Linked DNA regions of Oryzias latipes. The protein of the gene in region 2 interacts with the protein of the main gene of each other region in a biochemical or structural test. Links are inferred from orthologs where the notes say so. Each region holds a gene or a part of one and is shown on either strand. Other genes may lie near its edges.

Region 1 (3,751 bases), on a different chromosome or scaffold from region 2:
CACTGACGATCAGCGTGTTGTTGGCGTGTGTGAAGCTGAGGGCGGCGCTCTCCAGAGGCAGACAACATCGATCAAGATCAGGAATACAGAACTTTTTAAAATACCTGCAAAGACACATGCAGGATTACAAACGCACGGTGCGCCGGCAGCAACGCGGATGGTTTGTCTACAGCGCCATCTATAGGGAGAGTCTGAACATTGCATGCAACAAGTGTGCAGCGCAGGAAGGTACTTTTTGTTTGAGGTCTTTATGACGACACATGGGAGCCGGTTTAGCTCGTGCTGGTTTGCGGCGCCTTCCGTCCGTGAAACCAGGGTTCGACTCCGGGCTGCTCCCTGTTCCCTTCTCTACCCCTGTGCCGGTTCCAAGCCCGGTTTGAGAAGGTTGCGTCAGGAAGGGCATCCGGCGTAAAACATTGCCAAGTTTACCATGCGACTTGTTCGCTGTGGCGACCCCTGATGGGAGAAGCCGAAAGAGGAAGAAGATGACGACACATCTTTCAGACGGCTCCACAAAAACACTGAAGACATCTTTCTGGTAGGCGAGGTTCCGGATTCTCCACTGAAAACAGGCTGTGGAAACCAGAGAAAACGCTGCTGAGCTCTGCAAACCCAATCATTACTAAGCTGAGGTCAGGTCAACATAAAAGCAGAAAAAAAAAAAAACCCACATTGGAGCAGCTCTCTCTGATTATGTCCGAGTCCTGAGATCCCGGGGTGTTGACCAGCGGCTCCCCAACCTCCACCTGCCAGGGGCTTTGAGCTCCCAGTGGGCTTTTATGGCGCCATTTCCGCACTGAAACACATTCAGAAGACTCATCCTGACTCTACCGCCGGCGCCAGTACCTTCATGCTGCAGAAAAGCTACATTTGATCCTCACTAATAAGTTCGTCTGTCTTCAAGTCGTATTCTTCTGCCATCTCTTTCCCATCAGAGAAGAGATAGTGGATCTTCCGCTTACCTGCAGGTAGAATCAAAAGTGTTCACGAGAAATACTAAATAAAAATCTCAAGCTGTGAGGTTATGTTATGTTTATTTATCTCTTTCAACAAAAATAATCAGAAAGTGTCGAGCAGGGACGGAGATGTCCGGGTAGAAACCCACTACAACTGCGGCCCCCCCCCCCCCGCTGTTTAACTGACCACCACGAAAAACTGATTTACATTTGATTTTTGTTTGTTTTTGAACACCGATGAAAACCATTGGGGCCTAAATATTTACATGCAGTCACAACAAAATTTTATTCATCACTTGAAGCTGAAACTTGTTTAAGCATTTGCTCTAAACCAGTGTTTTTGTGGGAGATGGTCAAGTGTGCCGTGAGAAATTGCCCTCATTAACTGATCTAAAAACATTTAACATCTCCAGGAAATCAGCTCTTTGTTCATCCAAACAGGCCCTGGTAAAACACATAGAAGTTAAAAATATGAAATATCATAAAATTATTTTTTCTTTGTGTTTATATGATTCTTTTAAAGACATTTTGATAAGAATAACGGGATACCGTTAGCTGCAGCTATAACTGTGTAAGGAAAAGTCCCGCCCCTTTAACTGTCTCCACCAATCATTCTTGAAGGCTTAATCACATGTCATCAGTATGACCAATCAGAAGTGGTTAAAGTCTTCGCTTCCTTGTTTCGATTTAGCGCAAAAAAGTCTCTCTGTTCTAAGAAAAATACCAGCTAAAGCTCGTCTTTAGCGGTGTAGCTTTCCACAGAATCTGGTATCAGACTGTGGAACAAGTGAACAAAACAATGAAGCTCAAAGACGCTGGTCTTTCTGCGGTCGGCGCATTATCGGCACTACATCTCCCATGATGCAGTATAGTGACTGTCTTAGCGCACAATGAGTCTCTCCTCTTAACGTCTTAAAACAACGAACACACATCAAACAGTTTTTGAATCTTTTGACTAAATTTTTAATACATCTTTTAGAAAAAAACAGCTGCAGCTTCCAGCTTTTTATGCAACAATTATCACAAAAATGCATGTGAGATTGCAGAGCGGCTGTAGATCAATACAGACTATGAGCTTATTTTTTTATTTTTTTTTTTTATCTATTTTTTTGGATGCTGGTGTGCCGCGGGATCTTTTTCAAGGTTAAAGTGTGCCGTGTCTCAAAAAAGGTTGAAAAACACTGCTCTAAACAATAAGTGGGGAGAGGCATTTGCCAATAAAAAAAAAAGAAACTCTTCTACTTTTAGGTTGAATTAGCAGATAAATGCAAGGTAAGAATCTTCATCATTACCACCCTAAAATAAAAATATTAGAAGGCAAAACACACACAGTGTATATAATTAAAATACATAGTTTATCTGTATAAGTGCAGTAAAAAAGGACACATGAATTTCTGATTCATGCCAGCTGTATGTAACATAAAGGAATTTTGAAGAAACGTGTTTAGTATTTGCCCTAGACCTTTGCAACAATAAAAGCCTGTGAAAACAGTGGAATGGTCTATGGCACAGACGGATATCTGATCAGAACTTGTGTGGGTTCAGAATTAAAATGCACTTTCATTGTTTGGTACAAATACTTTAGATTTGGGTCCCCATCCAATCAGCGCATCTGTTGTCCAAATACTGCCCTTTCAAACTCCTCCCATTTAATTACTAATCGTAGATTTGCTTTCGGTCTGTTAATAAAAAATGCAGTTTGGGTTTATAATCAAACTAAACAATACTAACTTGGGTCGAAAGATGTTTTTTGATGTCTCATTTAAATCGCCGTCTGAAAGAGCTTTAATGTTCTTGTGAACAAAAAGCATTATTAGCAAACAGGAGCATCTTCATGGTCAGGTTGAGTGGTATGAGGCTCAGGATTCACTGACACTTGAGCTGCTGTGACTTGTTTTTCTCATGATATTATTTTCTAGCTTGTTGTTGCTATTTTCATAGATTCGGAGTTTCTTAAGTAACGTGGAGCGTCACATAGAATATCTAAAGTACTGTTACTGTTAGTATTTTGTAAATACGAACGCATCTGCTCGAGTCTGTCTTTTCGAGATTCTGGTATTAACGTAGATGGAACTGTAGGGACAGCTAGCTTGTTGCCTAGCAACATGATTAGCTATGAAGTGAAGTCCAACTTTAGGAAAGGTAATTACGTCAGGTTAATACATTTTAAAATGTTTTTATTTATTTAAAGAGTATTGTATCTTTTTTAACTTACCACCCTGTATGAGCGCCGTTTTTCTCGATGACTTCAAAACTTCGGTCCAGCTTTGCAGCTCTGCCATTTTACACTTCCGTCTCTCAGGCGGTTACCACGGAAACAAGTGGCGCGAAAATGTTATTGTGTAGTTAATTTTGAACGATAAAACTATTTCTTAGTATTGTCTTATATGAAATATAAGATAATAATTAACATTATTAGTGAAATACAAATAAATTAAAACGCATTATTTTTGTGACCTCAACCCGGAAATGAAGCATTCATAGAAGGAACAACTTCCGCTTCAGGTCACCTGTGTTTGTAACAGGGTAAGAGCTAATATTTTATAGTACAGTTGTTTTAAGCAACAAATGTTCGGTTTTATTTCAAAATGTAGAAATATTTCAATTTGCATCAAACTGCAGATAAAACAGAAAGGGATCAAATTAAAACTGTTTTCTGTTTTCATCGTCATTCGGTGTGAATGAGCAGCTAGCCATTTACAACAAGCGGAGGAATATTGTTGGCCTTATATAGTCCTTCACCATTGTGACTGGATATTTACAAAAATATTAATTACGGTTTTAAAGGAAACACT
Region 2 (3,751 bases):
TACACTATATATTGAAGACATAAAATGTAATAATTTATTCTGAGAAGTATTCTGTTAGTATACTTCCTGTACTGCATGTACATGGAGTATAGTAGGCGTACATTTGCTGTAATTATACTTAGGTATACTTAAGAAGTAAACTTTAGGTGTACAAGTGTACTACTTTTTTGCCAAAAAGTTGTCAGGAGTGGTTATAATCTTTTGGGATTTCAGTTTTATCTCACTAACAAAAAACAGTGTGAATGTGTTTGACAAGGAAATGCTGCACTAACAAAGAAACTAATAAAACACTTAAAAAGGTTTTGTCTCAATTGAAACTTTGAAGTCTTTTTATTTTTATTTTGACTGTTTATGCTTTTTTTAAAAAACTTTTATGTATTATTACTTTTGTTGATTCATTTATTGAATTATGTGTTTATTTTTTTTATTTTGTTTATTTTATTATTATTTATTTCATTTTATTATTATTATTATTATTATTTTTTTGTTATTCAACCTCATGGCAACTTCAATAATTTGCACTTGGTGTGAAATTCTGTATGTGCAATGTTTGTCAATAAAGTTATTAAAATTAAAAAAAAATAATCTCCGTCTTTGATTTTTGTTTTTTAACTGATGGTTAAATTGGAATATAAATGCATTTATGAAAATGTATACATTGATAAAAAAAAATGTTCCAAAAATACACATTATTTGTGGGCGTTAAACTTTTTTCCCTTCATATTTAACCGCTTTTACGTAGCTTTCTGGTTCCTTTACGCCGTAGACCATGTGACCAAAGAGTGCGGCTTGTTTATTATTCCGTTATACGCCGGAAGACGAGGAACTCATTTCTCCAATTACACCAGTTCGCAATAAAATCATTGGATTAAATACAATAAACATAGCGGTCTACCTTCACCAGTGCCATATATCAGGACTGACTTTAATTACTGCTAAATTCAAGAAAAGGGAAAATAATAAATTGCTTCTGCTCTGAACGGTACGGTGTGTCTCGAGCACAAAAACGAACGCCCGCAACACAACGCGGGAAACGCCGTTGTGTTGTTTTCCACCGCGGAGCAACCACCGGGCTAATCCTCAATTTAGGGGTTAGTGTTACTACCTGACAGATGTTCACCTGTCCGTTTTTGTGTGCCGCTCTCTGACCGGAGAGAGTTTGTCCTCGAACGGGACCCCTTGGTTTGGTTGTAGCCTGGACCGCATGACGAAACCCGGAGAAGCGGGTAATTGTAGGTCGGTCCCCGCGCTGCTTAATGCTTGTAGCCTCCGAGAAGACGTTAGCTCCGAAACAAAGAAAGAGGTCCGGTCCGATTCTGGTGGGAAATGGATACGTTTCAGAAAGTGGAAAAGATCGGAGAAGGGACGTATGGAGTGGTTTACAAAGCTAAAAACAAACTGACCGGAGAAACGGTTGCGCTGAAGAAAATCCGACTGGATACGTAAGTGAAAAGTTCTTCTTCCTGCTGGTTGAAACCTCTGAGAAGCGTTTGTTGTGATTCAGATTATCTCAAATGCTTAATTCCAGTCCCCTCATGAAACAGTTTCATTAATTACAGAAAAGACAAAACATTTTAAATTCACTCTATGTACAAAGACCTAAAAAATAAAAGTAAATAATAATACAAAGTTGAAACAAAACTGACATGTTACAAAATAAAAGCATTCAGCTCTTGTTTGGTTGGTTTCACTGTCAAATTAAACCTACTCAGTTACATTTAAAATCTATTCACCATCTGTTTTATTCATCTCTATTTGCCTTTGGGGGTAATGGAACACTAAACACAATTAGTCAATAAATTGATCAAAAGTGATGATTACAAATTCATGTGCATTTGTCCATAAAGTTTTGGAAAAGCATCATAAACACAACAAATTGCTTTAATTTAAAATGATTCTTAATCAAAATGAATTATTGTGCAATAACTAGGAAAATTGTATTCAATTTATCAATGGGACAAAGGAAGCATTTAACTTCATAAAACAATCTCCGCTGATCCTTAAATTTGTGATTTCTTTAATCCAGAGAAACAGAGGGCGTACCAAGCACAGCGATTCGAGAAATTTCACTTCTTAAAGAACTCAGTCATCCAAATATTGTCAAGTAAGTGTTTAACCATGCAGAAATATGTTTATTTTGTTCAAAAGAATCCCATTTTGTGTGATTTTATGTTTTAAACCAACTTTTTTTTTTTGTCCAGGTTGCAGGATGTGATTCACACAGAAAACAAACTCTATCTGGTTTTTGAGTTCCTCCATCAGGACCTCAAAAAATTCATGGACTCTTCCTCTGTGACTGGCATCCCGCTGGCTTTGGTGAAGGTGAGCGTCCTCTTTAAAGAGAAGATCCTGAAACTGTCCAGACCTGATTCCTTGTTCTTACTGTCTTGTGTTTCTAGAGTTATCTCTTCCAGTTGCTGCAAGGCCTGGCTTTCTGCCACTCTCACAGAGTTCTTCATCGGGACCTGAAGCCCCAAAACCTCCTCATCAACGCCCAGGGTGAGATCAAACTGGCAGACTTCGGTCTGGCGAGAGCTTTTGGAGTGCCGGTCCGCACCTACACTCATGAGGTACAGTGTGCTCCTCCCTTTCTTCATCTGTAACAAGGTACGAATCGATCTGATAACAGCTGATTTTGTTTTTCTAATGTGGTTCAGGGATTTTTAGTGCTGGATAGTGAGAAAATGTTTATTTTAAAGGATAAAATCCCAAAATATGTATTTTCTTAGCTTTGCTCTTTCAAAATCTGATTCAGACCTTTTCTTGTCTTGTATCAGGTTCACATAATAAAACATTAGAGTCGTTCTTGATTCTTTGTGGTATCTTTCAGGTGGTAACACTTTGGTACAGAGCCCCAGAAATCCTCCTCGGCTGCAAATACTACTCCACAGCTGTCGATGTCTGGAGTTTGGGGTGCATCTTCGCTGAAATGGTAACGCGCTCGACCCCAAGACCAACTTCAATAAAGAATTAGGAGCACGCTGATAATAAACTGATGGTCTGTGTTCACAGATCACCAGGAGGGCTTTGTTTCCCGGAGACTCTGAGATCGATCAGTTATTCAGGATCTTTCGCACGCTGGGCACACCTGACGAAACGGCGTGGCCCGGAGTCACATCCATGCCCGACTACAAGCCCTCCTTCCCCAAATGGGCTCGTCAGGATTTATCCAAAGTGGTTCCGCTTCTAGACGAAGATGGAAGAGAGTTGCTCGGAGTGAGATTTTCTTCTGATTGCTACATGTTTTACTCTTTTCCTGTTAAATATCTGCAAACGCGTTAATTAAGAGTAATTGTTTTTATGTGTAGAGTTTAGAAAGGATGACAAATTCTCTTATGCAAATTATAACTTTTTCTGTCTACTGAAAAAAAAAAAACAATATTTTAAACGCAGCTCAGAAATATTGACTTGAAAAAACCTTTTCAAATTTTTTGTTTGCCTTTCTAGGATGGTGCCCTTTCAGCTTTTTTTCCTACTTTCCATTTTTCTCTAATAATTTATCTTTAAAATAGTTTTTGTGGTAATGCTTGACATTTGTTTTTTAGTACAACCGCGGCTTCTCTCTGTCTCTCTTTTTTTTTAGCAGAATATTTTTAATTATATCCCAATAATTTCACAATGAAACTTTACAAAAACTCAATTTCAGGTTTTAAATTTACTAATTTGTATTACCGGTAACTAAAAAAATTTGAGAACAAACAGTTTTTATGTTTTATTACAACGATCCAAAGGCGTACAAAATAAATGAAAA

Evidence for each region.
Region 1: of the proteins of cdk2 (region 2) and poll, one has a biochemical effect on the other in vitro, tested with the Homo sapiens proteins (2 studies listed by BioGRID). The link is inferred for Oryzias latipes from reciprocal best matches to the Homo sapiens genes CDK2 and POLL.

What each region holds. Positions count from the first base shown.
Region 1 is NC_019859.2:29,444,328-29,448,078, forward strand, and holds the start of poll (DNA polymerase lambda), read left to right. Parts: upstream 1-1,002; 5' UTR 1,003-1,021; intron 1,022-3,171; coding exon of another isoform or gene 3,172-3,238; exon of another isoform or gene 3,239-3,256; intron 3,257-3,402; exon of another isoform or gene 3,403-3,482; intron 3,483-3,751. Other genes in the region: protein DPCD, read right to left, coding at 2-104, 233-276, 494-594, 668-796, 882-962, 3,172-3,238.
Region 2 is NC_019863.2:27,093,848-27,097,598, reverse strand, and holds the start of cdk2 (cyclin-dependent kinase 2), read left to right. Parts: upstream 1-1,007; 5' UTR 1,008-1,326; coding exon 1,327-1,442; intron 1,443-2,026; coding exon 2,027-2,104; intron 2,105-2,201; coding exon 2,202-2,322; intron 2,323-2,399; coding exon 2,400-2,570; intron 2,571-2,830; coding exon 2,831-2,932; intron 2,933-3,012; coding exon 3,013-3,216; intron 3,217-3,751. UniProt on the Homo sapiens protein: Serine/threonine-protein kinase involved in the control of the cell cycle; essential for meiosis, but dispensable for mitosis. Phosphorylates CABLES1, CTNNB1, CDK2AP2, ERCC6, NBN, USP37, p53/TP53, NPM1, CDK7, RB1, BRCA2, MYC, NPAT, EZH2.